Linked DNA regions of Macaca mulatta. The protein of the gene in region 3 binds, or shares a complex with, the protein of the main gene of each other region. Links are inferred from orthologs where the notes say so. Each region holds a gene or a part of one and is shown on either strand. Other genes may lie near its edges. The genes, in order: MTOR, PDE6D and RHEB.

Region 1 (9,481 bases), on a different chromosome or scaffold from region 3:
AAGACTTGAGCCAGGGTCCAAGTGTGTGTCCTTCTCCTGGTACCATGCCCCCGCCTCACAGTACTGCCTCCTCTGAAGGGCAGCAGACTGGAAAGCATGCGGCTGATGCTTCTGATCCCTACCACACCACTGCTAGATTCTCTCTTAAGGACGGACTCTACCCCATCTCACAGCCTGGAATCCTAGCCCTTCTAACCAGCCTTTTTCAGGGATGAGCCTCAGAAGGAAGCAAAAGACCCCACCATGACACCATCGCTCCCCAAGCCTGGCTGTGCTCCTCCCTGCAGGCACTCACAGCTGCGTGTCTCCGGCCCTCATTGCGGTCAGCACCCAGCCATTCCAGGGCTCGCTTCACCTCAAATTCCACATACTCAGCGGTGAAAGTGTCTCCTGCCATGGCAAGGCGGCCGATGGCCTTGGATGCCATTTCCATGACAACTGGGTCATTGGAGGGGAGGAGGTTCCGAAGATAGTTGGCAAATCTGCCAATTCGGGTGGCATTCCCACCTTCCACTCCTATGAGGCTGGCTGGAAAAGAGAGGAAGGCAAAAGGTGATGATGGGGCATAGGCTGACCAGGAAAGTACACAGACTTCAACTAAAAGCTGGCAAGTGCTGGCCAGGCGCAGTGGCTCAAGCCTGTAATCCTAGCACTTTGGGAGGCCAAGGTGGGCGGATTGCCTGAGCTCAGGAGTTCGAGACCAGCCTGGGCAATATGGTGAAACCCCTTCTCCACTAAAATACAACAACAACAACAAAAAATTAGTCGGGTGTGGCGGCATGCGCCTGTAGTCCCAGCTACTTGGGAAGCTGAGGCAAGAGAATTGCTTGAACCCGGGAGGCGGAGGTTGCAGTGAGCCGACATTGCGCCATTGCACTCCAGCCTGGGTGACAGAGCAAGACTCTGTCTCAGGAAAAAAAAAAAGAAAAAAAAGCTGGCAAGTGATCCCTCCATTCTACTTTGAGTACACTTCTAGAGGGCAAGGACACAATTTTTATTTTAACCCAGATATTTAATACTTATGCCAGAAATATTTACATACAGCAAAATAATCTTATGCTAGTATAATTTTCCCCCCTAGTCCCCCAAAAAGGGAAAGCAAGTGAGACTGGATAATAATTCACAGGACTGATGACCAGTCCTTAGAAGTTAAAAATGACCTGCCTGGCCAGGTGTGGTGGCTCACACCTGTAATCCCAGCACTCTGGGAGGCTGAGGTGGGCAGATCACTCGAGGTCAGGAGTTCGAGACCAGCCTGCCTAACATGGTGAAACCCTGTCTCTACTAAAAGTACAAACACTAGCCGGGCATGGTGGCAGGTGCCTGTAATCCCAGCTACTCGGGAGGCTGAGGCACGAGAATCGTTTGAACCCAGGAGGCGGAGGTTGCCACGAGCCAAGATTGCACCACTGCACTCCAGCCTGGGCAACAGAGTAAGATTCCATCTCAAAAAAAAAGAGACCTGCTTTTTATTAACTATACCGATTCCACTTTTCCATTCGTGAGCCCCACTATGCAAAACCCTGCTCTACTGAGGAACCAGAGCCCACAAAACGCAACATGAAGGAGGGGAAAGAAAGCTGGCTTCCAGTCTCAGCTCTGGTAAACTGTCTGAAAAGTCACTCAATGGTTCTGAGACTCCACCTCCACATCTAAAAATACGTTTTTCCTGTAGCCCAGGACTGCTGCTAGAATTAAATGCCACAGGCTTCTTAAATTTCATTAAGCAAATATGAACTAGCATCCAGTAAGTGGCAGACACAGGGTGCAATGGGCACAAAGGTGAGTGTGTTGTTTTTGTGGCCAGAGACTCTGTCCTTACCTATGGCCAAGATGCCACCTTTCCTCTCATTGGCATCTGAGCTGGAAACCAATTCAAAAATGTGATGGTTCAGCTGGTCATAGAAGCGAGTAGACTCCTCTTGACTCATCTGCAAAAGAAGATATAATCAGAACAATTTCTAGTAATTCTCTGACTGTGGTGGTGGGAGTGGGCTGGCATCTAAAGATTAGATCCTGAGAGGCAGACAGTATAGTTCAAACCAAAGAAGACAAGCTACTGCCCACTTCTACAGGATTACACTGTAGAGCACCTGAACTTGCAATCCTCTGATTATTTAACAAATATTTATTGGGTATCTACTCTGTGGCAGAAAATGTTCTGTCCTAGGTTCTTTCTAGTACCAGGGATACAAGGATAAACAAGATACTGTCTCTGACCTCAAGTCTGGTCTCTATTTAGAAAGTCCCTAGTTCTCAACTCTCCAAACCCATCCCAATCACTGTTATCAGACAGAAAGCATTTGAGGGTGTGGTATGTGGTAAGGAAAAAAGAAAAAGCTAAAAGAAACAGCTAAGTCTATTCTGGCCCCTAAAATGTGACCACAAACAAGAAAAATGCCACAGAAATGTGCAACTGCTGCAAAAGAACCTGCATGTTTTATGGATGTGAGAGGTTGAGTGCCTTTCTAAAATAATCTCTGTTTTCCAAATCCTCGCTTAGCTGTCCAAAAAAAGTCTAAACCAGTGATGATACATTTAGCCCAAACATCCCACAATGACTGGCCCCAAATCGCAGAAGCACCTCTCGGAGTTCCATGGTGACATAGTGCTGGAGCTCCTTGGCAGCTTTGGCCCTGGTCTCTTCATTCCGGCTCTTCAGGCCACTGGCAAACTGCTGTAGAACACTCACATTGCTAGATGTGGTGGCAGCGGTGGTGGCGGCGGCAGGTCCGGTTCCAAGCATCTTGCCCTGAGGTTCTTTAGAGAAGTTTCCTTTAATATTCTGAACAAGAAAGTATGGTGATAAATTTACTTATGGCCCTGGTCATCCAACACAGATCTCCCCCAAGCCCTTGTCAGGCAGGGGATTCTAAAAAGGTTGAGAGATCTTATTGAGGAACATTTAGAAAGCCTAGATTCATTAAACAATGACTGATGTTTAAAAGAGGCAGTGTGGTAGGGAGGGTCAAATTGCGGGCTATGGGAGCTAGCCTACTTGGGTTTGAATCCTTGGGTTAGATACCTTGAGCAGTTTTGGAGGCCGAGTCAGGAGGACCACCTGAGGTCAGGAGTTCGAAACCAGCCTGGCCAACATGGTGAAATCCCATCTCTACTAAAAATACAAAACTTAGCTGGGCGTAGTGGCATGTGCCACCCGGGAGGCTGAGGCAGGAGAATCACTTGAACCTGGGAGGTGGAGGTTGCCCTGAGCCAAGATCCTGCCACTCCACTGTCTCAAAACAAAAACAAACGAAAACAAAAACAAGGTTATATACCTTGAGAAAGACACTAAAAATGTTTCTTCAACTACAATAGGAAGATAATAGTACCTAGTTCATGGGTTGATGTGAGGACTAAATGAGTTAATACATGTCAAAAAGTATTTAAAACAGTGCAGGGCATATACTGAGTTCTTAATAATTGTTAGCTATTATTATTACTACTACTACTATGTACACGGCACAGTGCCAGGTAACAAATGTGGGGAGGTAGGGAAAGAATCAAAAATGACTAAGACTGCCCCTTTGCTCAAGTTCAGTCTAAAAAGAGAGATTATTATTCCACAGCAGCATTGTCTAATAGAAATATAGGCCAGGCACAGTGCCTCACGCCTGTAATCCCAGCACTTCGGGAGGCCAAGGCAGGCAGATCACCTGAGGTCAGGAGTTTGAGACCAGCCTGGGGAATATGGTGAAACTCCATCTCTACCAAAAATACAAAATTAGCCAGGCATGGCAGTGCGTGCCTGTAATCCCAGCTACTTGGGAGGTTGAGGCAGGAGAATCACTTGAACCCAGGAGGCGGAGGTTGCAGTGAGCCAAGATTGCGCCATTGCACTGCAGCCTGGGCGACAAGAGCAAAACTCCATCCCAATTGAAAAAAAAAAAAAAAAAAGAGGAAATACAGTGATCCACAAATGTAATTTTAAAGCTGCTGGTAGCCATATTTTAAAAGGTGAAAAGAAACAGGTGAAATTAATTACTTAAACTAATATATCCAAAATATCATTTCAACATGTTATCAATATTTTAAAAATTGATATAGTGTCCATTCTTTTTTTGTAGCGAGTCTTCAAAATCTAATGTGCATTTTACACTTACGACAATGTCAATTTGGACTAGTCACTTTTATTTATTTTTTGAGACAGAGTCTTGCTCTCCGTCACCCAGGCTGGAGTGCAGTGGCGTGATCTTGGCTCACTGCAACCTCCACCTCCTGGGTTCAAATGATTCTCCTGCTTCAGCTTCCCAAGTAGCTGGGACTACATATGTGCAGCACCACACCTGGCTAATTTTTTTTGTATTTTTAGTAGAGATGGGGTTTCATCATGTTGGCTAGGCTGGTCTCAAATTCCTGACCTCAGGTGATCCACCCGCCTTGGCCTCCCAAAGTGCTGGGATTACAGGTGTGAGCCACCTGAACTAGTCACATTTCAAGTGTTCTACAGCCACATGTGGCTGGTGGTTCTTGTACTGAACAATGCAGTTCTACAGGGGACTAGCACTTCAAATGTAAGCTAAAAGAAACCAATTAGTTTCTGAGATCATTCCTTCATTCCTCAATTATGCCCACACTGCTATGGGTGGAACATATACCTATCCTAAGTATGTTCAGCTTATGCTACAAAACCAATTTCTCAAAATTCTTATTTTTGAACCAATTTGTAAGGCACAGAGGAAAAACAGGGAATAATTGGTTTTGAAAAGCTTTCAAATACTCCAGTGCCAAGAAGAAGACTGCAGAAAGAAATGTCATCCTTTAGGGGAGAAGAAACTTAAGAATCCCTACTAAGAAAACTACTCCAGTTTGTGTGTATGTGTGTGTGTATGAAAGGGGGGAAGGAGGCTAGCAAGGAAAGGCTCAGGAAGGAACCAGTGTAACTTCATATGGTCTGAGGCCCACAGGCCATCTGCTCCAGGCTGAATTCAATTAAACTTAGGATATCTGAAGTCAAACATCCTAAGGGTCTTGATAGGGCTTAAGTAAGTTAAAATTGGATGGGAGAAACAGGGATGGGGCTGGGGGAGAAGGCGAGAGGATGTACCCCAACGATGTAACCGAGCTCAGTTTCGGTGACTGGGTCTCTGAGAAGTGTCCACGGTGGAGGATAAGGGGCTGACACGGACGCTGGTGTTCCCTGGGGCAGAGATACAAAATTTTTGTACGTGGCTCAGAAAAAAGGGTGGCTGTAACGGGCAAAAGACCCAAAGGGCAGTACCAGAGCTGATGGACCGGCCTTCGGGCGGACGTACCGCGGGCCGAAGGGTGCAGGGGTCTCTTGGGGGTCCCGGGGAGGTGGGCGTTGCCTCGAGGGGTGGGACTCAAGGGCTCAGACGGTGCCCAGGTCGTGGGGCCGGCAGTGTGGGGACCCCACGTCCCAGACGGGCGGCTTCCCCTGCCCCCCCACGGGCAGGTTGGCCGTAGGTCTGGACATTACGCCGCCTCAGAGGGGTCGTTCCAGGCCCTAGACTCACCGTGCGGCTTCGGCCAACGCCTCAGCTGCCGCCGCCAGCACCGCTACCGCCGCCTCAGGCCCCCTGCCCCACCGCCCGCCTTCCCCGCTGTCCTCTAAACCGGGAGCGAGGGAAGGAGGGTTCCTAGCCCTGAGGACCAATCGACACGTACAGGAAGAAGATGGACTGAAAAACAGGCCAATAGTAATGAAGAAGAAGTGGAGCTTCAGGACCCGGCTTCTCCAGGGGGCGGGGACTATTCAAATAGACAAACCACGCGGCCAGTGACAGCTGAAAACAGGCTTGGGTCCACTCGGGAGAACCAATCGGTCGTGAGTTGACCTCAGTCACTTCCACTCATACATCCGGTGCGGCGCTGCTAGGATTCCCCTCTGCATCCGGGCTGTGAACTCAGGGAGTCCGCTGTCTGGGTACCTCCGGATCGCACCAAGAGCGGCTAGCAGAGGTTCGCGACCCCTCCCGGTGTTAATTCTGAGAGGAGAGTGTGAGCAATGCTGGCGCCCAGGAATTACTGCATCAGAAGACGTTTCGGGCTAGCGCTCTTTATGGATCCTATGATTTCTCTTTTGTTACATTTAATAAGCATTTGAAAATGTTTTTAATTAGATTTTCTCACTTTCCCAAAATTATCCAATTCAGGATCATTCCAGAGAAACCATAGCCAAGTTTTAACCAAAAGAGCTACTCATAAATAAAAATTTTCAAAGAAACATTATATTTTTTTAATCGTTTCAAAAATCAATAGCTGGCCCGGCGCGGTGGCTCACGCCCGTAATCCCAGCACTTTGGGAGGCCGAGGCGGGCGGATCACTTAAGGTCAGGAGGAGTCGAGACCAGCCTGGCCAACATGGTGAAACTCTCCCGCGTCTCTACTAAAAATACAAAAATTAGGTGGGCATTGTGGCGCACGCCTGTAATCCCAGGTACTCGGGAGGCTGAGGCACGAGAATCGCCTGAACCCGGGAGGCAAAGGTTGTAGTGAGCTGAGATCGTGCCACTGCACTCCAGCCTGGGCGACTGAGAAATCTCCGTCTCAATGAATACATACATGCATGCATACATACATACATACATACATACCAAAGAAAATAAATAGCTGCTGGTCACAGTGGCCCACACCTGTAATCCCAGCACTTTGGGAGGCTGAGGCACAAGGATCGCTTGAGGCCAGGAGTTCCAGACCAGCCTGGGCAAATAGTGAGACAATGTCTCTACAAATTGGAAAAAAAAAAAAAAGAAATCAATAGCAAAAGTGGATTTGACTACATTTCTTCTTTTTTTTTTTAATCACAGTGCTATTTGTCATAGTAAACACTGAAAATTCCTAAATACTTCAAAGTAGGAGTCCAGTAAAATATGATGCATTCAGCCAGGTGCGGTGGCTCACACCTGTAATCCCAGCACTTTGAGAGGCCGAGGCCGGCGGATCATGATGTCAGGAGTTTGAGACTAGCTTGACCAACCTCGTGAAACCCCGTCTCTACTAAAAATGCAAAAAAAAGTAGCGGGGCATGGTGGTAGGCGCCAGTAATTACAGATACTTGGGAGGCTGAGGCAGGAGAATTGCTTGAAGCCAGCAGGTGGAGGTTGCAGTGAGCTGAGATCACGCCACTGCACTACAGCCCGGGTGACAGTGCAAGACTCAGTCTCAAAAAAAAAAAAAAAAATGCATTCATAATAAGAAAAATACGTAGCCATTAATAATGACAATTTAGAGCCTATCATGGTGGCTCATGCATGTAATCCCAGCACTTTGGGAGGCCAAGGCAGGATTGCTTGAGGCCAGGAGTTTCAGACCAGCCTGAGCAACATAGTGAGACCCTCATCTCTACAAAAGAAATTTAAACATTAGCTGTGCATGGTAGCACGTGCCTGTAGTCCCAGCTACTTGGAAGGCTGAGGCAGGAGAATCACTTGAGTCCATGATTTCAAGGTTGTGGTCATCTGTGATCACTGCACTGCAGCCTGGGCAGCAGAGAAAGATCCTGTCTCAAATAATAATAACAATAATAATAATAATAACAAGAAATAGTGGTAATGAGATGAATATTTGCTAAGAAGGAAAAGGTTCACAACTAGTTCAAAAATTACAAATTACACAACAATGTAAGTATAATATAACCATTTACAAAAATATTTATGCTTTTCTCATATGTCTATGTTTACATGGGGAGATGTGCACAATGGGAAAGACACTTTTTCTTTATACATTATCATCAATTACTTATGTAATAAAAAGAAGTGAAGGTAGAAGGAATGAGTTTTCAGAAGGCCTAAACTGCCAAATTAAAGACGGTTGGGCTGGGTGCAGTGGCTCACACCTGTAATCCCAGCATTTTGGGAGGCCAAAGCAGGAAGATTGCTTGAGCCAAGGCATTTGAGACCAGCCTGGGCAACATAGTGAGACCCCAATCTCAAATAAATAAATAAATAAATAAAGATGGTTGATAATATTCTGTGGCTAACAAAATGCTTTGTTTGGCAGGGTTTTTTTGTTGTTGTTAATACCTATGATATTGGCCAGGCACAGTGACCCAACACTTTGGGAGGCTGAGGCAGGTGGATTGTGTGAGCCCATGAGTTTGAGACCAACCTGGGCAACATGGTGAAACCTCACCCTTACAAAAAATGCAAAAAATTAGCTGGTGTGGTGGCATGCACCTGTGGTCCCAGCTACTTAGGAGGCTGAGGTGGGAGGATCACTTGAGTCCAGGAGGTCAAGGCTGCAGTGAGCTGTGATCTCGCCACTGCATTCCATCCTGAGTTGACAGAGTGAGACCCTGTCTCAAAAAAAAAAAAAAAAATTATAATTGCTACTTTTTTTTTTTTTTTTTGAGACAGTCTTACTCTGTCACCTAGGCTGGAGTGCAGGGGAGCGATCTCACCTCACTGCAACCTCCACCTCCCGGGTTTAAGCGATTCTCTTGCCTCAGCCTCCCAAGTAATAATGGCTACTTTAGATTTAGCCTCTTTTCATTGCTTCTGTGAGATAACTGTTCCTCTAAACTTTACATTTTCACTGATCAACAACTTTTTATTTTTTATTTTTTTTAGATGGAGTCTCGTTCTCTCACCCAGGCTGGAGTGCAGTGGCACAATCTCGGCTCACTACAACCTCCGCCTCCTGGGTTCAAGTGATTCTCGTGCCTCAGCCTCCTGAGTAGCTGGGATTACAGGTGCCCGCCACCACACCCGGCTAATTTTTGTATTTTTAGTAGAGACGGGGTTTCGCCATGTTGGCCAGGCTGGTCTTGAACTCCTGACCTCAGGTGATCCGCCTGCCTCAGCCTCCCAAAGTGCTGGGATTACAGGTGTGAGCCATCGCACCAGGCCCAACATCTATGTTTTTATCATTAAAAATTTCTAATATGCAATATAGTCACTATTCAAATCTCAAAATAAACAAGTTATATTTATCATGAAAAGTCTTGCTCCACCCTTGCCCCTTGACTATGTATTTTCTCAGTTTCTTAAGCATCCCTAGATTTTCTGTCTGCAAAAACAAGCAAATATATACGTATGTATATTCCCTTTTTTTTTTTTTTTGAGACAGAATTTCATTCTGTGGCCCAGGCTGGAGTGCAGTGGCATGATCTTGGGTCACTGCAACCTCTGCCTCCCAGGTTAAAGTGATTCTCGTGCCTCAGCTTCCCCAGTAGCTGGGATTACATGCCTGTGCCGTCATGCGTAGCTAATTTTTAAATTTTTAGTAGAGATGAGGCTTCACCACATTAGCCAAGCTGGTCTCAAACTCCTGAACTCAGTTGATCCGCTCGCCTCAGCCTCCCAAAATGCTAGGATTACAGGCACGAGCCACCATGCCCAGCCCATACATATATTCTTATTTTCCCCTTTTGTTATACTATATGCACTATTTTGCATTTTTAAAATTTTAGTGTATCTTGTAGATCTTTCTCTTATAGTTCCAACAGGTTTATATGCCTGCTGCACAGCAACAGACCAATACAACGAGACAGCAGAGTCTGCAGCAGAGAGAGAGTTTA
Region 2 (9,564 bases), on a different chromosome or scaffold from region 3:
ATGGCGAAACTCCGTCTCTACTAAAAATACAAAAATTAGCCGGGCATGGTGATGCACTACTAATCTCAGCTACTCTGGAGGCTGAGGCATGAGAATTGCTTGAACCCAGGAGGCAGAGGTTGCAGTGAGCCAAAATTGTGCCACTGCACTCCAGCCTGGGTGACAGATTGAGACTCCATCTCAAAAAGACAAACAAAAACAAAGGGAGTAGCAATTGGGGTTGAAAAAGAAGGGACACTGTTGGAGACATTTAGACTGTAGAATTTATAAGACTTGGTGACCAGCTGAATATAAGGAGAGGGAGGGAGCATAACACCCAGGATTCTGTCCTGGGAGACCAGAGCTGTCTGGAACTGGTGTTAAGTGAACAGGGCTATGGACGAGGAGGGACAAATATGGGATTGAGAGGAAGACAACAGAGTTTAGTTTGACTTCATAGAAATTCCAGCAATGCCTCTACTTCCTCCAGAATAATGTCCAGACTCCATGGCTGCAATTTGGACTTAGTATTTTGGGTTTTTTCCCTTAAGAGACGCAGTCTTACTCTGTCACCCAGGCTGGAGTGCAGTGGCACTATCATAGCTCACCTCAGCCTTGAACTTCTGGGCTCAAGGGATCCTACCACCTCCACCTTCCAAGTAGCTAGGACTACAGGTGCAGGCCACCACACCTGGCAAATTTATTCTTTTTTTTTTTTTTTAGAGATGGGGTCTCTCTATGTTGCTGAAGCTGCTCTTCCCTGATCTCAAGTGATCCTCCCACCTTGGCTCCCAGAATGCTGGGATTACAGGTGTGAGCCACCACACCCAGCCCATGGCTGCAGTGAAAGCCCTTCCAAGTGTGCCTCCCTCCTAAGTCCTCTAGCTTTGTCGCACCCCACCCCCTTCACAGTCCAAACTCCCATGCCCGGCACAACTTATACCATCCCTCTCAGACACCAGGCCTATGCTCAAGCTTGCTCTTTTTTGGAATGCTCTTTTATTAGCCTGTAAAAAACCTACCAACTCTAAAAGCAAGGATTTCTGAAATCCAATGCAAAAAACACTAACCATAATAGAAAACATGGAACTATTGCACTATGTTAAAATTAAGAATTTCTGCTTGGCAGATGCAGTGGAGTACACCTAAAGTCTTACTATAGCTACTTGGGAGGCGGAGACAGGAGGATCACTTGATCCCAGGAGTTCGAGGTTGTAGTGGGCAATGCTGGTGCCTGTGAATAGCCACTGCATTCCAGCCTGGGCAACATAGCAGAGACCCCATCCCTCAAAAATATAATTTGTTTCAAAAGTCACCAGTAAGAGAGTGAAAAGACAAGCCACGCCTTGGAAAAGATATCTGCAAAGCATGTATCAAGGAACTCTATATCCAGACGGTAAAGAACTACAAATCAATAAGAAGACAGCCCAATTTTTTAAAGTTGGGAAAAGAATAGGCACTTCAGGAAAGACAACGTTCAACTAGCCAACAAGCATATTGAAAGGCGCTCAACATAAGGAAAAATGTAAATAAATACCTTAATGAGATACCACATTCAGCCAGAATGGCTACAATTAAGAAGAATGACAACAAAAATCCTGTGTTGACAAGGATAAGAGGCACCTAGAACTCTTTCATATTGCTGGCAAAGGCGTAAATTGGTACAATCATTTTGAAAAATTGGCAATGTCTACTATCACTGATCATGTGCATAACCTCCCTACACACCGGCAATTCCTCTCCTAGAAATGGGTGCAAGTGTCTACAAAAAGAAACATGTAAGAATGCTCGCTACAGCTTTGCTAGTAATAGTCCAAAAAATAGCAACGCAAATGCCCACCAACAGTGGAAAGGTAAATTGTGGTATATATATACAACAGAATACTATTCAGCAGTTAAAAGGCTACACACAACATGGATGAATTTCACAAAAATATTGATAAAGTAAAAAAGCCAGACACATACTGTACATACTGTATTATTACATTTAACTGGAATTCAAGAACAGACAAAACTGATCTATGGTGATACAGTCAGAAGAGTGATTATCTCAATATGTAAGGAGGTAATACTGATTGGGAAGGAGCACTAGGCGTGCTAGAAATGTTCCATATCTTGATTTGGGTAGTGGGGACAAGGGTGTATACCTATGCAAAAATTGTTCCCATACTGTATGTCACATCTCATTTAAAAAAAAAAAAAAACTTTTTTAACATGGAAAAAAACTTCAAGTCCAAATGCCACCTTCTCCATTAAAGTTTTGCCAGCTGCAATTAACCTTTTCATCAGGGCCTCCTTAGCATTCTGATGTCGTTTCTTTTATGCCATTTTATCACACTCCATCTTGAATCTCAGTGGAGTCTCCTTATTTCCCTAAATAGATGTTTATCTTCCTGGTGGCAGTGACCATGTCCTTCACCTTTTACCCACTCAGTGCCTGACAAATAACAGGCTGAAAAGATATTTATTGAATTACATGGAAGAAAAAATTGGGTGAGTTCCCAGATGGGTGAAAGAGGGGACAGGCAGAGGAAGGAAGGCCAAGAGAAGGACAGAGGAGGTTTCCAAGGAAACCGTGGCTCACACTGCAATTTTACCTACTTCCTGAAATCACATTAAATGTCACCTTGAGTGGCAAAAAACAAAACACCAAGTCCTACCTAGGCTGAAAATAAATATCACACTCCCTCACTTGAAAGAAATCCACCAAATAAATGCTACCTAATTCTGGGTGTTTCAACACTGGATAGGAAAACTGTTCAAGGAGAATAATTCACATTGCTATGCTGCTAAAAATATCACCTCCTTAGTGTGGTGCAAAGAGTCCAGACTGCAAGTCAGCCGACTTAGGGCTGAATTCTAACTCTGCCCGAACTTGCTGTGATCTGTGGCCAATCCCTTCGCCTCTCTGGGCCTCAATTTCCTCATACGTAACAACGGGGTAGATTAGCAAAGTCCCTTTATGTTTTGATATTCTGAGTATACAATCCATAGCTCTCCCGGTCCAAAGCAGGAATACAGCAAAAACCCCTGAAAAACACGTAAAAGGCGCCTCAGACCAACAAGCACGATTTGAAGAAGTCATTTTGTTATCTTTCACGGTTTAATCAGTGTTTTTGTTTGTTGTTAGCAGCCTTACCATGATTTGCAGAAGATGTCTGAGTTCCATGTAAACAGAAGTTAACTCTCTGCGGGCTGTCATCTTCTTTTGACGGTGAGAAGGGTCTTCCCGCTGGGTTTCAAGTCTCGGGATTCCGAAACCACCAACTCAGCGGGCGGGTTTGTGAATTTGCGCACACTGCGCGGCACACTGGAGTCTAAGTTACAGAGGAACCGAGTGCAGAGGATGCTGGGATTTGTAGTCTCCGGACCTCTTTGTGGTGCGCTGGGATCTGTAGTCCCCCGAGTGCGCCGCTGGAATGCTGGGAAATGTAGTCTCTGTCGCGTAGCACAGTGCAACCAGCTGCCGTCTCGAATGGCTAGTGTGCTCAGCTGCGGGAGCAGGTCCCTAAAGCCTCTGCAGATCCGAAGCCAACACTCCGCTGGGACAAACTCTAGGCAATAACACCAGATGAATATTGTGTCCTATGGGACTTCCCGGGGAGGGCCCTTCCCATTGACGTTAACAGTCCCCCTGCGAAGGCGCAGCGCGCTCCTACTGGCTGGTTGGGATGCCAATCACCAAAGCTGGCTTTCCATTGGTTCCAGGGGGGCACTGCGAGGCTAGGGGGAAGGAGAAGGGATCAGGAGCGGGAGCTGAGGGGAGAGAGAGGCCGGTCCTGGTCTGGCCGCTGCGGCTGCTCGCCCGAGGTCTCCAAGCCGGGCTGCGGCTCCATCCTCGGCTCCTGGGCACCGTCTGCGAGGCTCCGCCGACCAGAGTGAGAAAGCCGCGGGCGGCTAGCGCCGCATCATGTCAGCCAAGGACGAGCGGGCCAGGGAGATCCTGAGGGGCTTCAAACTGTATCCGCCCGGGAGCGGGGCGGGGCCGGGAGGACTTGGGAGGCGGCCGCTCACTGAGGAGACTGGCCGGGGGCGGGGGCCGCGCCAGGTGGGCCCCGCGGAAGAAGGGCTGCGGGAGGGGAGAGGAAAGGAAAAGCGTGCCGTGCACCCGGCGGGACCAGGCGCGAGAAGCGCCCCCAGGGGCGTCCTGAGGGAGGAAGGGGACGTTGACGGGAGCCACAGGGGGTGGCGGGTGGGGACGGAAGAGCTTGGGGTACTGGGCTGCGAGAGGTGCCGGGCGTCGCAAACGCTATCGGAGAGACCGGCTGGGTTCCAATCCCCGGCCGGGACCCAGAGGCCGGGAGGGGGCTGCGGCCCGCAGGGAAGGGCTGAGGGGGCGCGGTGGGCTGATCTTAAAGTCTAGAAGCCTCTTTGGCTATAAGCCTACCCGAGGAGCGGGGAACAGTGACTTGGAGCGGGCGACCTTGTGTGGGACAAATACCAGTGCTTTTAAAACTCTCTCAGGGCCCCCACCGCACCGCACCCCACCCCCGTCTGGTTTCCACAACTTCTCTTCCAAACTTGTGGCTTCTTCCAGGGCTAGAGTAGTTGGGGGAGGTGGGGAAAGAGAAGTCCAAGATCAACCTCGTCTTAACACTCTTGGTCTTCTGAGGCATTGGTCACTGCTTCCCCCTCAGCGCCTCAGTTTCCTTTCCAGCAACACGAGGACCATAGGCTTAGGTGTGGGGTGCCTCGCGCTGGGGCTCCTAGCCGAGGTGTCTTTGCTCGCTCCTGTTGGTGCGGTTAATGCCTAGCTGTGGTGGAGCTGTCCAGCAATAGTGTGATGTCGCTGGGGCCACGGTAGGATAGTGGGGTAGAGAAATCATTGCCTCGGGCCTGTTGTGATGCCGCTCTTGCAGCCTCTCCTTAATGTGGTAAGGAAGCTTTGTGTTTTCGTGGAGTGTGTTAGTCTGTCACCATATGATGCAGATGAAAAAATGCAAACTTGTATATTCAAATTTTCCATTCTCCTGCCGGCTTTAATCTCTGCATACATCCTGTCTGTAATCTATAGTACGGAACGTTCTTAAACTGCTCCCTCAGTGAAAAGGTAGTCACCGCTTTAGGACTCCTCCCTTGGAGGTTTAGTAAAGCACTGTTTTCTTGATATTCTGTTGTGTTTTCACAATGTCCATGTCACCCTTGCAAAATTTAATTGCTTTGCTATAATCAGAAACCAAGTTGGTAATACATTTTAGACCACAGTGCAAAAAGGAAGTTTTGGATGTACAAGTGAGATTTTTCAAGTGAAAATTGATCTAGGCTTTTAAAAAAACCTAAAGGCTGTATCACCTTTGCATACTACCATTCAGGATAAAGTTTCAGTACTTTCATGTAGTGATTTAGTAGCAGCCTCTTTAGAGCTCCATGTGCCTTTCTGTGTTTCTCTCCATAATGGATCATATAGGTATATAGGGATGACTGAAGTGCTGGAAAAGCTATGACATGAATTTTATTTTTCCCTCAAGTAATTTGTATTATTACTTAACATATAACAATGTAATAATATTGTTACTTAACATGCTGTGTAAGCAGTAAACCAGAAACTATGGAGAACTGAGAGATTTCAGAAGCAACGTTTTCATCTGATTGGAAATACCATATTGCTGAAAAGAAGAAATACCTTTTTAATGGCTTTTGAACAAAGCAGAAAAGTTTGAGCTTCTCACCTTCAGTCTTGGCTCTTGAACCTGTTAAGAAAGAGGATAAGAGACAAATACGGAAAAGAGTTTCAGAAAGCAGAATCTGTGTCAGCCCACTAGAAGGAAAAGCGAATCAACCAATTCAGTGATGTTAGTGCATCCAGAAACAGGCTTTCGGGGAAAGCTTGACCTGAGCTGATTAAATCCTGAAGCACCAGGGAAGCAGCCACATCAAAAAGTTAGCATGAGAGCAGTGGCGTGCTCATCCTCTGGTAGCCTTTATTGGGCATTTGTGGAGTAAGAGGGAAAAGAAAAGCAGGAATGTTAAGATATGCTACTACCTTCAGGAAAAAGTAAAATTAATGTTTTAGTAAGAAACTGACTATTGTCTACCTTTTATTGGGTAAATAGATTTTCCGAACTTTCTTTCAGAGTATCTGTTTCTGTAAGAATAGTTTATCACTACAAAAAGAGCACCATTATGTTCTCCCACCAACAGTGTTGATAGTACTCAGTTTTCCACATTGACTAGGTCGGTCTTTTTTGTTTGCCAGTTTAGATAACAAATGATATATTGTTTTAATTGGTATTCTCCTGGGATCCCTACATCCATGAAAAGGTAATGTAGCATAGTGGTTAAGAGCTATACTGGACTATGTCGCTATACTGCCTGCATTGGAATTCCAGCCCTGCACTCCTAGTTGTGTGTCCCTGAGCAACTGCTTTAACCTTGCCTCAATTTTCTTATCTGTAAAATGCAGAAAATAATAGTATACTACCTATCGCATGGGGCTTTGAGAGTAAATGAGTTGATATCTAAAGCATTTAGAAAAGCACCTGATCTACAGTAAGCATTATGCTTTAGCTAGTGTTATTCTTGTTGTTATTAGATAAGTTGCACATCTCTATTTGGCCATTTCTTTTTCTTCTGTAAATTGTTAATTTTGTTTTTGCCCATTTTACTATTAAATTGTTTATTTTTCTTATTTGTAGATGTTCTTTACATATTGTAATATCAATCCTTTGCCTATTATATATTTTGCAAATATTTTCTTTCAATGTATTGTCTCCTTTTTTGTTGAACAGAATTCTAAAATTGTCATTTCAAATTTATTTTATTTGTTTGAGATGAAGTCTCGGTCTGTTGCCCACATTGGAGTGCAGTGGCACAATCTTGGCTCACTGCAACCTCCGCTTCCCAGGTTCAAGCAATTCTCCTGCCTCAGCCTCCTGAGTAGCTGGGATTACAGGCACATGCCACCATGCCCGGCTAATTTTTGTATTTTTAGTAGAGACGGGTTTCACCATGTTGGCAAAGCTGTCCTCAAACTCGTGACCTCGTGATCCGCCTGACCTCTGCTTCCCAAAGTGCTGGGACTATAGGCGTGAGCCACCGTGCCTGGCCTCAAGTTTATTAATATTTGCCGTCTGGCTTTTGCATTTTGTATCTTGTTTAAAAAGATCTTTCTTATCCCAAGATTAACTAAATATCCTATCTTTTCTTCTCTTTTTAATGTTTAGCTCTTTAATCCACCTGGAACGTATTTATACATTTGGTATAGGGTAGATATCTAAGTACTTCTGCTGTTTGAATAGCCAGTAGTTCCAGTACTAAGTACTAAGTCCGTCTTTTCCTCACTGTTTTGAAATGCCATCCTTGTCATATACTAAATTTTCATAAGACGTAGGTTTATTTTTTGATTATTTCTCTTTCATTGATCTATTTGTCTCTTCTTGTGCCTATACACATTTGGTTGAATTATTATAGCTTTATGATGTGATTTAGTACAGTTTACAATAGGATTGGTCTGTGACTAACATAATATGTGTGTTTAAGGTCCCTATAAATATTTATGCCCCTTTTATTCACATAGAAGCTTGCCATATGCCCATAGTAGATAGAAACATGAGGACTTGGCTGGGCATGGTGCTCACACCTGTAATCCCAGCACTTTGGGAGGCCTAGGTGGGAGGATGGCTCAAGGCTAGGAGTTCAAGACCAACCTGGCCAACATAGTGAGACCCCCAACTCTAAAAAAAAAAAAATTTAAAGATACTCCGTAAGAGTGATGCATAAATCAGGCATGGTCTGAGTGAATTCAGTATAAGCCTTTGTATTTGCCATCAGTTGTTTCAAAAACAAAATCTTACAAGATTTTATTCTCATATCACCTTCACCCCATCTCACCCTACCTCTTTCAGAGTATCTGTTTTTGTGAGAAGAGTTTATCACTACAAAAAGAGCACCATTATGATCTCCCACCAACAGTGTTGATAGTACTCAGTTTTCCACGTTGACTAGGTCAATCTTTTTTATTTTTGCCAGTTTGGACAACACATGATACCTTGTTTGAATTTGTATTTTCCTGGATCCCTAGATCCATAAAAGGTAATATAGCATAGTGGTTTAAGAGCTATACTGGACTGTGGCGCTATACTACCTCTCAAGAAATGCAAGGCTCTCATACACATTAAGAACCTTACATTTCTTTCTTGTTTGTTAAAAGCATAACATTTCCTAATTGTAAATTAATGTTATGAATGAAATGTTACTTGGGGAACAATATGATTCTCCTGCAAATATTTTGGATTTGATTTTAAGCAGCTGACATAGAGATTGATGTTTGTAAATCCCACGTTTCCCGTTTCTTTTCTTCAACAAAGGTCTGTTGGGTGACTGTTATGTATAGGGCACTCTACACTTAAAGGATACAAAAATGAATGACTTACAGTCCCTTCTTTCCAGAAGCTTAACCAGCTTTATGTCTGTGTAAAAGGAATATCTTCAAAAGCAATGCATTTTTTAAAATTCTATTTAATTTTCCTATTACAAACTCCAGCTACCTAGAGTCACTTTTGTAAGTATTATTTAATATAGCCTTCTAATGTAGCTAATTTTTAATGTGTTTTTTATAAAAACGGAATAGTAAATATCACTTTGTAACTTACTTTGTTCACTTAATAATAGATTTACCATGTTTATGATTTCCAAAGATAATTACTTTCAGTTATTTTCACTGACAGATTTGTCACAGTACTCTTTTTTTTTTTTTTTTTTTTTTTTTTTTTGAGATGGAGTCTCACTGTTGTTGCCCAGGCTGGAGTGCAATGATGCAATGTCGACTCACTGTAACTTCTGCCTTCCGGGTTCAAGCGATTCTCCCGCCTCAGCCTCCCAAGTAGCAGGGATTACAGGCATCCACCACCACGCCCGGCTAATTTTTGTATTTTTAGTAGAGACGGGGTTTCTCCATGTTGGCCAGACTAGTCTCAAACTCCTGACCTCAGGCCTCCCAAAGTGCTGGGATTACAGGCGTGAGCCACTGCGCCCAGCATTTGTCACAGTACTCTTATACCAGCTTTCTAGTATGGTCTGTATCCACTGTTTTGCCTATTTGAATAGCTTTTTCATCAACATAAAAATATTACTTTATTAAATTAACAAGAAACTGACAGACTTCCATGAGAAGGAATTATGCTTTTATGATTTCATTATCTTTAATCCATCTGGAATTTTCTTTGGTATAAGATATAGAGTAGTAATGTAGCTTTTTTTAAATATTAGCTTATTGTCTCCATTTATTTATTTAATTCATTTATTTATACTTCAGATATTATAATATCCAGAATATAAATGGCTTGGCTGCCTACAAATCAATACGATAAGCATTTAACTCAAAATGGACAAAGGATATGAACAAGCAGTTCCTAGAAGAAAAAAGCAGATGACCAATGAATAAATGAGGAAATGCTCAACCTTGTTAAAATAATAGACTATCTGCCAGGTGCAGTGGCTCATGCCTGTAATCCCAGCACTTTGGGAGGCCGAGGTGGCGGATAGCTTGAGCCTAGAAGTTTGAGACCAGCCTGGGCAACATGGCAAGAGCCTGCCTCTACAAAAAAAAAAAAAAAAAAAAAAAGCGCACACAAAAATTAGCCAGGT
Region 3 (9,686 bases):
ACTTTCCCCCTTCTGAGAGCACTCCATGCAACTCCATACCTCAGGATTCAGACTAGACTGATCCCCTATGTCATTGAGGGAGGGCAGGATTTTCCTTCCTCCCAGTGAAATTCAGGGGATTCACCTTTCCCAGGATGGCTTTCATCCTACAATGCTGAAGACAGGACAGTCAACTCCCCACCAAGGAAACCCCTCTCCCATCCACAAAGGTTCTGCCCCTTTGACTTCAGTAAGATGACCACACAATAGAAGAACCTTAGCACGCAGGTTTGATTTTGAATGATACCGATGTGAGACATAACAGTTCAGTCTGCTTTGGCTTATGCCAAGATCAAAAGGAGTCTGGTTCTTCTCCATTCTTCCCTCATCAAATATTTTTAAAAACCAAACCACAAAACTCCTTAATGTCTACTTTCATTGGGGTCACCATTTTCCATGTAAAAGAATGTCCTTTTGGTAAAAACAATCATAGCAGTGGTTTTTTACTCTGATCTTAGTGTAACTCAATGGTGGGGGGAAAAAGTTTTGTATGTTATCTCTGGGACGTAAAAAAAACATGTTGGAACTAGAAATCAGATATTGGGCTTGGAAATGCTCATAGAAAGTTAATACAAACCCTGTATCAGACGTCCAAATTTCAAAGAACTTCCATAGCCACCAGCCGTCAGAGGTGTAGGTCAGCAGAGACCCTTCTGGACAATCTACATGCTTAGCATGAGCTCCTCACTCAAGGGATGATGGGAATTAACAGAACTGATGATGTTCTCTTTCTGGAAACTTAACGGAAGACACATGGTTCTTAGTTCACAGGGAAAGGGAACAGAAGTGGAAGTACACACAGAGGAGGCAGCAGGCTTAGGCCTCGAGGAGCAGTCCCGAACAAGCAGGGCCTGCTGAGGAGAAGCTGACTGGTGGCAGCAGACCTTCCTGCTGCTGCAAAGTCAAAGGTGACCGAGTTAGCCACCAATAAGGGAGCTACTTTGAATACAAAAGCAAGTCCATTTCTTCCGACCCTGTTCCTGTCTGGTTGCAGTCAAGTATTTCCATGTGAATTCAGACTGAGTCCCTACTATTTTAGCTAATCTGAGCCATTTCTTTTTTTCTTTTCTTTTTTTTTTTTAAGACAAGGTCTCCCTTTGTCACCCAGACTGAAGTGCTGTGGCGCCATCTCAGCTCACTGCAGCCTCGACCTCCTGGGCTCAAGTGATCCCGCCACCTCAGCCCTCCAAGTAGCTGGGACTACAGGCACGCGCCACCACGTCCGGCTAATTTTTTTGTATTTTTTATAGAAACAGCTTTTCTCCATGTTCCCCAGGCTGGCTAAGTCATTGTTTAAACGAAACAAATTCTCCCCACTCTGGAATAAAAGAATCTTCTAAACCTCTGGATCCTACATTAAAGGGCTTGAAGATAGCAACTGGAACTTTTTTTTTTTTTTTTTTTTTTTTTTTTTAAGACAGAGTCTCGCTGTTTCACCCAGGCTGGAGTGCAGTGGCGCTATCTTGGTTCACTGCAACCTCCGCCTACCAGTTTCAAGCAATTCTGCTGCCTCAGCCTCCCGAGTAGCTGGGATTACAGGTGCCCACCTAATTTTTGTATTTTAGTAGAGACAGGGCTCTACTAAATTTTGCATGCCTGGCTAATTTTTGTATTTTTAGTAGAGACGGGGTTTCACCATGTTGGCCAGGCTGGTCTCAAACTCCTGACCTCGTGATCCACCTGCCTCGACCTCCCAAAGTGCTGGGATTACAGGCGTGAGCCACCGAGCCCGGCCTGGAAAACTTCTTGAATGAGTTTGTCCTTTACGACTGTGCTTCACATCTGGATTACCAATATTCTCAGGCTAGAGTGGTGCTTTCAAACTTTTTGAAGCAGCCCATGGTAAGAAACTTTACAATGAGGCCGGTGCAGTGGCTCACACCTGTAATCTCAGCACTTTGGGAGGCCGAGGTAGGCAGGTCATGAGGTCAAGAGGTCAAGACCATTCTGGCCAACATGGTGAAACCCCGTCTCTATTAAAAATACAAAAATTAGCTGGGCGTGGTGGTGTGCGCCTGTAGTCCCAGCTACTCGGGAGGCTGAGGCAGGAGAATTGCCTGAACACGGGAGGTGGAGGTTGCAGTAAGCCGAGATCACGCCACTGCACTCCAGACTGGCGACAGAGCGAGACTTCGTCTCAAAAAAAGAAAAAAAGGAAACTTTACAATGAATCCCAACATACAATAATACATATATAGCATATCTATAAATATATATACCGACGCATGCACTTACACACACTTACCCTTACTCGTTTTTTTAACTCACCACTGTATTAATGAGGACACATACTTACCCTTACTATTCATAATGCAGTTTTCTATTCTGTTCTATTTTTTTTTAAAAAAGGTGAAACTAAACTGATTTGATAATGCAAGGAGTTTAGTAGCATCTGTTCAAAAACACTGTGGTGAGGATATCCGAATCCACAGGATAAAAACGACACATTTTACAGGAGAGTACAATTTAAGACCTTTAGTTTTAAAACACTTAAAATAACTGTAGCGTAAACCTCAACATTTCATGAAAACATAGAACTTCCAGACATTGATCACTTCCGGCTGGCTGCCTGGGGTTTCCATCTGTAGATCCCCAAGGACAAGAATGCACACCCCAGCCCCTATCGGATGCTTCCGTGGGAAAGCTGGAGGGAGTCGCTCTTGGGCTGGGTGTTCCAATTCGACTCCAGTCACCTCTAAACCTTCCTACGCTGGAATACAAGGCCTGCTACTCAGTTTCCCTGGGCTTCATTCCTCCCTACCGATCACTGGGAAAGGGCGAAGGGCCATGCCCGGCCTCTGCAGGTCCCCACTGCCAAACAGCCTCGGCAGAATAGGGGCGGGTTCCCCGGCGCGGCGGAGCCTCTGCTAACTCGGCAAGTGCCAAGCCCACCAGCAGCCACCACTCCGGGCCTGCCTGGAGGCTCGTCCCTCAACGGCACCTGCGTTCCCGGCCCGGATTCTCTTCCCGCGCCCCTCTGCACTGCACCCCTGGGAAGGCTGTGCCCACACCGCGGCCCGAGGCGTTCCTGGCACCCGGCTCCGGCCTGCCCGCCGCACCAGCCGCCCTGGCGCTGGCGGAGAACCGGCTTCCCGCCCCGGCGTTGTTCCAGGATGTGCGCCGAGCTCCGCGCGAAGCGAAGCAGACACCAGAACTGACGAGGCTCGCCCTGTTTTTAATGAAATTCCTAACACTTTGAATTAACGCAGACTCCATGCTTCCCACAGTCCTTCGGCCGTGGGTGACGCTTAGTCACCACTACATCCTCAAACCCAGACACGAACGCTAACGCAGCTCAAGGGGAATTTTCAAAAAAGCCCCGAGGGAGGAGCTAGCCCAACCACCGCCCGCCCCGGCCACGAGCCTCGCGCCCTTCACGGGCTCAGCGGGCGCGAACCCGCCAACCGCTCAGCTTATCACCAATCACCGCACCTCCCACCTATTGCCCCGCCCTGCGCTCCGTTCCGGCCAATCACCGGGGAGCCACCGTTTGTCTCTCCGCCTCTCCCGCCCGCCCCCAACCGGTTGGAAGTTTGAAGCCTTCAAACCTCGCCGGCGCCCAACCGCGCTGTAGCAGCGCGGTGTATTTTTAGCTCCTGGGTGGCCAGCCCCGCCTCCTCCGCCCCGCCTCCTTGCCTCCCCCAATGGGAGATGGAGTTTCTGACACGTCATCGCGCGGCTGTGCAGGTGCCGTCCAATCGGCGCTCGGGGAGAATGGCGTAATTAAAAAGCGGCGGAAGAAGGTGGGAGGGTCATGACGCAGCGAGTTTCAGTCGTGACTTTTCTGGGGGCATCGCGGCGTCCCCTTTTTTTGCCTTTAAAGTAAAACGTCGCCCCGACGCACCCCCGCGTATTTCGAGGGGGCGGAGGCGGCGGGCCACGGCGCGAGGAGGGGCGGTGCTGACGCCGGCCGGTCACGTGGGTGTGTTGTGGGGGGAGGGGCGCCGCCGCGCGGTCGGTTCCGGGCGGTTGGGAGCGCGCGAGCGAGCGAGCGAGCGAGCTAGAGGCAGCCGCGCCCGCCGCCGCCCCTGCTCTGTATGCCGCTCTCCCCCGGCGCGGCCGCCGCCGATCGCAGCAGCAGGAGCCGCCGCCGCCGCGGTTGATGTGGTTGGGCCGGGGCTGAGGAGGCCGCCAAGATGCCGCAGTCCAAGTCCCGGAAGATCGCGATCCTGGGCTACCGGTCTGTGGGTGAGTGGCCGGTGGTCGCGCGGCCTCCTCGCGCCGCCGGGGCCTCGCCTGGAAGCCGGGTCGCTGCCGGGCCTGCGAAGTTTGGAGCCGGCGCGGCCATGTGGCGGGGCGGGCGGGGGCCGCGCGTTTCGTAACCACCATTTTGAGCGGAGGTGGTGGCGGTCGGGGCGGCGTCCGCACCGGTCGAGGAGCTGCGGTAGCCGGGCGCCCTCCGCGGGCCGGGCGGGCAGGTGGCGGCCGGGCGGAGGGCGTGGGAGGCGCGGGGCGGGGGCCGCCGGCCGCCGAGGAGTCCGGGGCTCGTCTGGGGAAATGAGGCGGCGCCAGGGAGCCGCGCTAGAGGCTCCCGCGAGGAAGGAGTCACACCTGCCTCCCCGCCTTCGCCGCGGGCGCGCGTGACCGGGGCTGGCGGTCTCCCCCACCCCGCCCCCGATGCAAGGAAAAGAAAGTCCGTGGGATTTTAACAAAGGAAGCAGCACCTCGGCTTCATTCCATCTGTGGTGAAGTTTACCCTTGTAAAGAAAACTAGGGACTTAGAGAACGTTTGGTCTCTGGACGCAAGTTTTGTACATAGGAAACCTAGGCGAGCCCCCAAAAGAGGCCCCTCTGGAGGCCCTGGAGATGCTGCTGGCGGCCCGGGTAGGAAGGCAGAGAAAAAGGAATGTCTGATCTCTCAGTGGCCTATATTTCTTCGGGAAGGAATAAGGTCAGGTACTTGCAACCACGCTGTTGAAGTAATTCCGAAGTCTTTTTGTTTTCTTTTTCTTCCCCCAAAAGGTTGACGTACATTTGAAACGGTTCCTAGCGTCGCCTTACTGCTGAATAAGGTGGCTTAGGGTCGGGTTGGGGGGCGGACGGGGTGTCACAGAACAAGCGGTTTTCTGGCCTGTGAGAAACCGGAGCGATCGAACTTAGACACGCTTCAGGGTGAGGCTGTATTGTCTGCCGACATCCGGAAGCCTGGAGAAATTACGTTCATCTTTTCGGGCTGTTTTGAAGTAACTGTCTATAGAAGACGTGCGCCGGGCCACATTTGGGGGGATGGGGAGGTGAAAGCGAGGGTTCAAAGGCTCCGGTGATTGCGGAACGGGGTGACAGCATGTGTCGTGGGAAGCTTGTACCTGCCAGCCGCTCGCGGGATGCACTCCCCAACTGCGCTTTCCACCGCCGGTGCCAGGGTCTGTGCTCTTTGACCAAGATCAGCCACTGCATGCTTACTCATCCTTTTACTACCTCTCCGTCGAGAGCTGGAGGAAGTCAAGGGCTGAGAGAAGCTTGGCTAGAGATGCGGGGTGCCCAGAGTCGTAGGGGGAACTCTTGTGCGATGCGGTGCTGCAGCCAGGAAGTAACCACGAATCAAATGGAGGGGTTCAAAGTCACTAACTGTTCAAATATCTACATGGAACCTGGGATCCAACCTTTATTGGCAGCCTGAATCCATGCTCTTGTCTCTGTTCTCTTGATTTCCTCCTCTGCATTTTGAGGAGTTGGGAGCGCGAGGTGTCCTGGCTCTTGGGTGAGCCCTCCCTAGTCAGTCAAGTAAGTACTTATTGCCAACTATTTGAAAATAGCCCCTGAATAATCACATTATGGTCAAGTACCTCGGCTACTTGATTTCAACCCAAGAGAATGACCTAAAGATCCTGACTGATTTACCCTTTTAAAATGTTGAAATGGTAGCTCTAGTCTTTGGTAAGCAGGGCTAGTTTTATCACTTTTTGGTGGGTTTTTTTTGGTTGTTTTTTTGTTTTTTTGTGTTTTTTTTGCTAAAGAAGTTCCTTGTGTCCAGTTGAAATCCATTCTGTTTTATCTTCCCCTCTATTCAGCTTCCTCCTGAGGACGGAGATGTGACAGGACACCCCTTAGCCGTCTCTTCACAAGCATTATTTTAAAGTGCTGCTTGTTAAATACTGTGCTAACTTAGTCTTCGGTGGGTTACAGGGTCACTTTTAGTCCCTATTTTGTGTCTTCAGTATTTCATATTTCTGCAACCTACCCCACTTCTCCATACTTATTTTCAAGCGTAGTCATATTAAACGATTTTGGAGAGGTTAAGTTGCTCCCAATCTTGTATTTGATTTTTTTTTTTTTTTTTGAGACAGAGTTTGGCTCTTGCCACCCAGGCTGGAGTGCAATGGCGCGATCTTGGCTCACTGCATCCTCCACGTCCAGGGCTCAAGCGATTCTCCTGCCTCAGCCTCCAGAGTAGCTGGCACTACAGGCATGCACCACTACACCCGGCTGATTTTGTATTTTTAGTAGAGACAGGTTTCACCACATGGCCAACCCTCAGGCTGGTCTCAAACACCTGACCTCAGGTGGTCCTCCCACCTTGGCCTCCCAAAGTGCTGGGATTATAGGCGTGAACCACCACACCCAGCCCCATTTGATTTTAAAGTGTATTATGAGCCGGGATATTTTGTAGTTTGTGGGGTCTTTTGCAGGGGAAGGAGATTAGGTTTTGCCAGCAGGTTTCGTCTAGTAAGCCACCCTTTTGAGGATTACTCAGCATGCTCACTTCTGGGAGCTTGCAAATGGTGCTATACCAGAGAAATCTGAGCACATGTGTTTCTAGATTGTGGTCTTTTGTGATGCTGAGCTGTTTTCTCCTATATTCTGGGGGTAGAGCCATAGAAAAAGGCTCCACATCTTTCTTAGAATGTTCTCTTAAGTACATTAAACCAGTTTGACTAGTAGGATACTTGTCATTGTGACTTTGTCATGCCACAAACTTTATTTTTAAAGTTGTCTTCAGCTAAAACAACAAAATGCTATGTTTGTTTTACTAGTTGGCTTTCTCTTTTTTTTTTTTTTTTTTTTTTTTGGAGACAGAGTCTCATTCTGTTACCCAGGCTGGAGCGCAGTGGTGCGATCTCGGCTCACTGCAACCTCTGCCACCTGGGTTCAACCAAGTCTCCTACCTCAGCCTCCCAAGTAGCTGGGATAACAGGCGCCTGCCACCCCGCCCAACTAAGTTTTGTATTTTTATTAGAGACTCGGTTTCACCATCTTGGCCAGGCTGGTCTTGAACTCCTGACCTCGTGATCCACCTGCCTCGGCCTCCCAAAGTGCTGGGATTACAGGTGTGAGCCACCATGCCCAGCCCTCTACTTGGCTTTCAGGTTTTTGTCAGAACTACCAATAGGGAAAATATAATTTTCAGGTAATCTATACAATTCTCCCTCCCAATCTCCTGTACTTTTCCTGTTCTTTACAATGTTAAAGCTTTTAAGGACATGTCACCTGTAACTCTGGGAGTCTGGCTTTCAGGGAGTGCTTTGTATTAACTGTTCCTGTGGTGGCCAAAAGTACCAGCTCCCTGACATTCCGTTGTCTCTACCACAGCAGAGTAGTCCCGCAATAGGAAGTAACTAAACTTAAGTTAAAATGGTAGTGTTACGTAAACTATCTTCAGTCTGGTACGTGTTTCACTGGGATTTTACCTGTACAGAGAGCTTTGGTAACCTAGTTTATCATTAGACCGTAATCAAAAGCTGGTTGTCATATATAAGCCTCTTACATACGGTTAATAAGAGGGGTGGGATCACAGGCATGTGAAAGATCATAGGGGGAAAATGAAACAGCTTTGTGGTTTGGAAGAAGGCAATTCAGCAAAAGTACTCAAATTATTACTTTGTCAAAATGTTTTGGGTAGTATTTAGAGTCTCCATGAGGAAAGATGTCATTAAATATTTGGTTGTTCCTAGCAGATTCTGACGTACTGTTTATTTTTTAAGTTAACCTATCATTTGATGACACTTTTTATTGAAAAATTGAAAGGCAAAACAATATTTGCTATGTATGAAATCTACCAGTATGTGAAATTGTATATTCAGGTGCTTAATATTCTGATGTTGTATACTTGTGGGTGGGGGTAGTCCTGAAGTGGCCACTTTGTATTGAAACTTGAAATTACTGTTTTTCAGTCTTACTCATTGTTCTGCACAAGAGCATAATCCGAATTCAGATTTCTGATTATGACTTTCTAGTGCCAAATGTTATTTTGCTGTCCCTATGGGTTATATCTCTCTGTACTTCATCACCCCAAAAAGAAACTGTACTCATTAGCAGTCACTCTCCATCTTGCTTCCCTATCAGCCCCTGGCAACCACTAATCTTTTTGTTTCTATGAATTTACTTACTCTGGACATTTCATATAAATGAGAACATACATATGTGGTCTTTTGGGTCTGGCATCTTTTACTTAGTATAATGTTTTCAGGTTTTGTCCGTGTTGTAGCATGTGTTGCCGCTTCCTGTTTAGTGCTGACTAATATTCCATCATGTGAGCATACCACATTTTTTCTATGCATTTGTCAATTGGATATGTGGGTGGTTTCTCTCTCTTTTTTTTTTTTTTTGGCTATTATATTTTATTTATTTACTTTTCTGAGGCAGGGTCTTGCTCTGTTGCCCAGGCTAAAGTGCAGTGGAGCTATCATGGCTCACTGCAGCCTCAACCTCCTGGACTCAAATGATCCTCCCACCTCAGCCTCCCGAGTAGCTAGGACTGCAGGTGTGTGACATCACACCCAGCTAGTTTTTTAATTTTTTTGTAGAGGTGGGAACCTTGCTCTGTTGCCCAAGCTGGTCTTGAACTCTTGACCTCAAGCAGTCCTCTCGCCTCAGTCTCCCAGTGTTGGGATTACAGGTGTGAGCCACCACTTGGAGCTCTACTTTCTGGCTACTAGGAATAATAATGCTTTGAACATTCCTGTACAAGCTTTTATGTAGACATATCTTTTCATTTCTCTTGGGTACATTCCTAGGAGTGGAATTGCTGGGTCGTTATGGTTAACTCCGTGCTAAATGTTTTGGAGAACTGTCAAATTGTTTTCCAAAACAGCTGTACGATTTTATATTCCCATAAGCAGTGTATGAGGGTTTAATTTTCTCCACATTCTCATCAACACTTGTTACTGTCTTTTTCATTTTAGCCATCCTAGTGGGTGTGAAGTAGTATCATAGGTTTTGCAAATAATTTCTTCTGTCTGTGGGTTGTCCTTTTACCTTCTCAATGGTGTCCTTTGAAGCAAAAAGTTTTTAATTTGAAGGCCGATATATCTATTTTTCTCCTGTCACTTATGTTTTTGGTGTCACATCTTAGAAGCCATTGCCTAATCCAAGGTCATGTAGATTTACTACTACATTTTCTTTTAGATGTTTTATTCTGTTAACTCTTAACATTAGATCTGTGATCTATTTGTAGTTAATATTTGTATATGATGCCAGAACTTTATTCTTTTGCATGTGGATATCAAATTGCACCAGCTTCTTTTGTTAAAATAATGTTCTTTCTTCATTGAATTCCCTTGTCCAAAATGAAGTGACCATAAATACAAGGACTCACTCATTCCATTGATCTGTATGTCTGTCCTTACGCCAGTACCACACGATCTTGATTACTGTAGTTTTGTAGCTGGTTTTTAAATAGGGGCATATGAGTCCTCTAACTTTATTAT

What was found.
Region 1: the proteins of RHEB (region 3) and MTOR are in contact, whole or in part, in a cryo-EM structure (PDB 6BCU), measured with the Homo sapiens proteins. The link is inferred for Macaca mulatta from reciprocal best matches to the Homo sapiens genes RHEB and MTOR. Residues at the interface, in NP_005605.1 of Homo sapiens: Lys5, Ser6, Arg7, Lys8, Arg15, Pro37, Ile39, Glu40, Thr42, Gln57, Ala62, Asp65, Tyr67, Ile69, Gln72, Thr73, Ser75, Ile76, Asp77, Asn79, Asp105, Met106, Val107, Gly108, Lys109, Val110, Ile112; in NP_001373429.1 of Homo sapiens: Arg62, His69, Glu73, Ala101, Thr102, Ile104, Gly105, Arg106, Asn109, Tyr110, Arg112, Asn113, Phe140, Glu143, Tyr144, Phe147, Glu154, Arg160, Thr969, Gln973, Phe977, Lys980, Glu1010, Phe1011, Gln1014, Met1018, Ser1050, Thr1051, Asn1264, Lys1293.
Region 2: the proteins of RHEB (region 3) and PDE6D are in contact, whole or in part, in a crystal structure (PDB 3T5G), measured with the Homo sapiens proteins. The link is inferred for Macaca mulatta from reciprocal best matches to the Homo sapiens genes RHEB and PDE6D. Residues at the interface, in NP_005605.1 of Homo sapiens: Pro2, Gln3, Ser4, Gln57, Asp77, Gln176, Gly177, Lys178, Ser179, Ser180, Cys181; in NP_002592.1 of Homo sapiens: Ile53, Leu54, Cys56, Val59, Val80, Gln85, Cys86, Leu87, Glu88, Glu89, Trp90, Ile109, Glu110, Ala111, Ala112, Pro113, Gln116, Met117, Met118, Leu123, Tyr149.

The regions. Positions count from the first base shown.
Region 1 is NC_133406.1:229,467,140-229,476,620, reverse strand, and holds the start of MTOR (serine/threonine-protein kinase mTOR), read right to left. Parts: upstream 5,585-9,481; 5' UTR 5,478-5,584; intron 5,141-5,477; 5' UTR 5,048-5,140; intron 2,786-5,047; 5' UTR 2,747-2,785; coding exon 2,585-2,746; intron 1,932-2,584; coding exon 1,823-1,931; intron 529-1,822; coding exon 296-528; intron 1-295. UniProt on the Homo sapiens protein: Serine/threonine protein kinase which is a central regulator of cellular metabolism, growth and survival in response to hormones, growth factors, nutrients, energy and stress signals.
Region 2 is NC_133417.1:137,042,772-137,052,335, reverse strand, and holds the start of PDE6D (retinal rod rhodopsin-sensitive cGMP 3',5'-cyclic phosphodiesterase subunit delta), read left to right. Parts: upstream 1-3,694; 5' UTR 3,695-3,889; coding exon 3,890-3,939; intron 3,940-9,564. UniProt on the Homo sapiens protein: Promotes the release of prenylated target proteins from cellular membranes. Modulates the activity of prenylated or palmitoylated Ras family members by regulating their subcellular location.
Region 3 is NC_133408.1:190,939,611-190,949,296, reverse strand, and holds the start of RHEB (GTP-binding protein Rheb), read left to right. Parts: upstream 1-4,124; 5' UTR 4,125-4,175; coding exon 4,176-4,227; intron 4,228-9,686. UniProt on the Homo sapiens protein: Small GTPase that acts as an allosteric activator of the canonical mTORC1 complex, an evolutionarily conserved central nutrient sensor that stimulates anabolic reactions and macromolecule biosynthesis to promote cellular biomass generation and growth.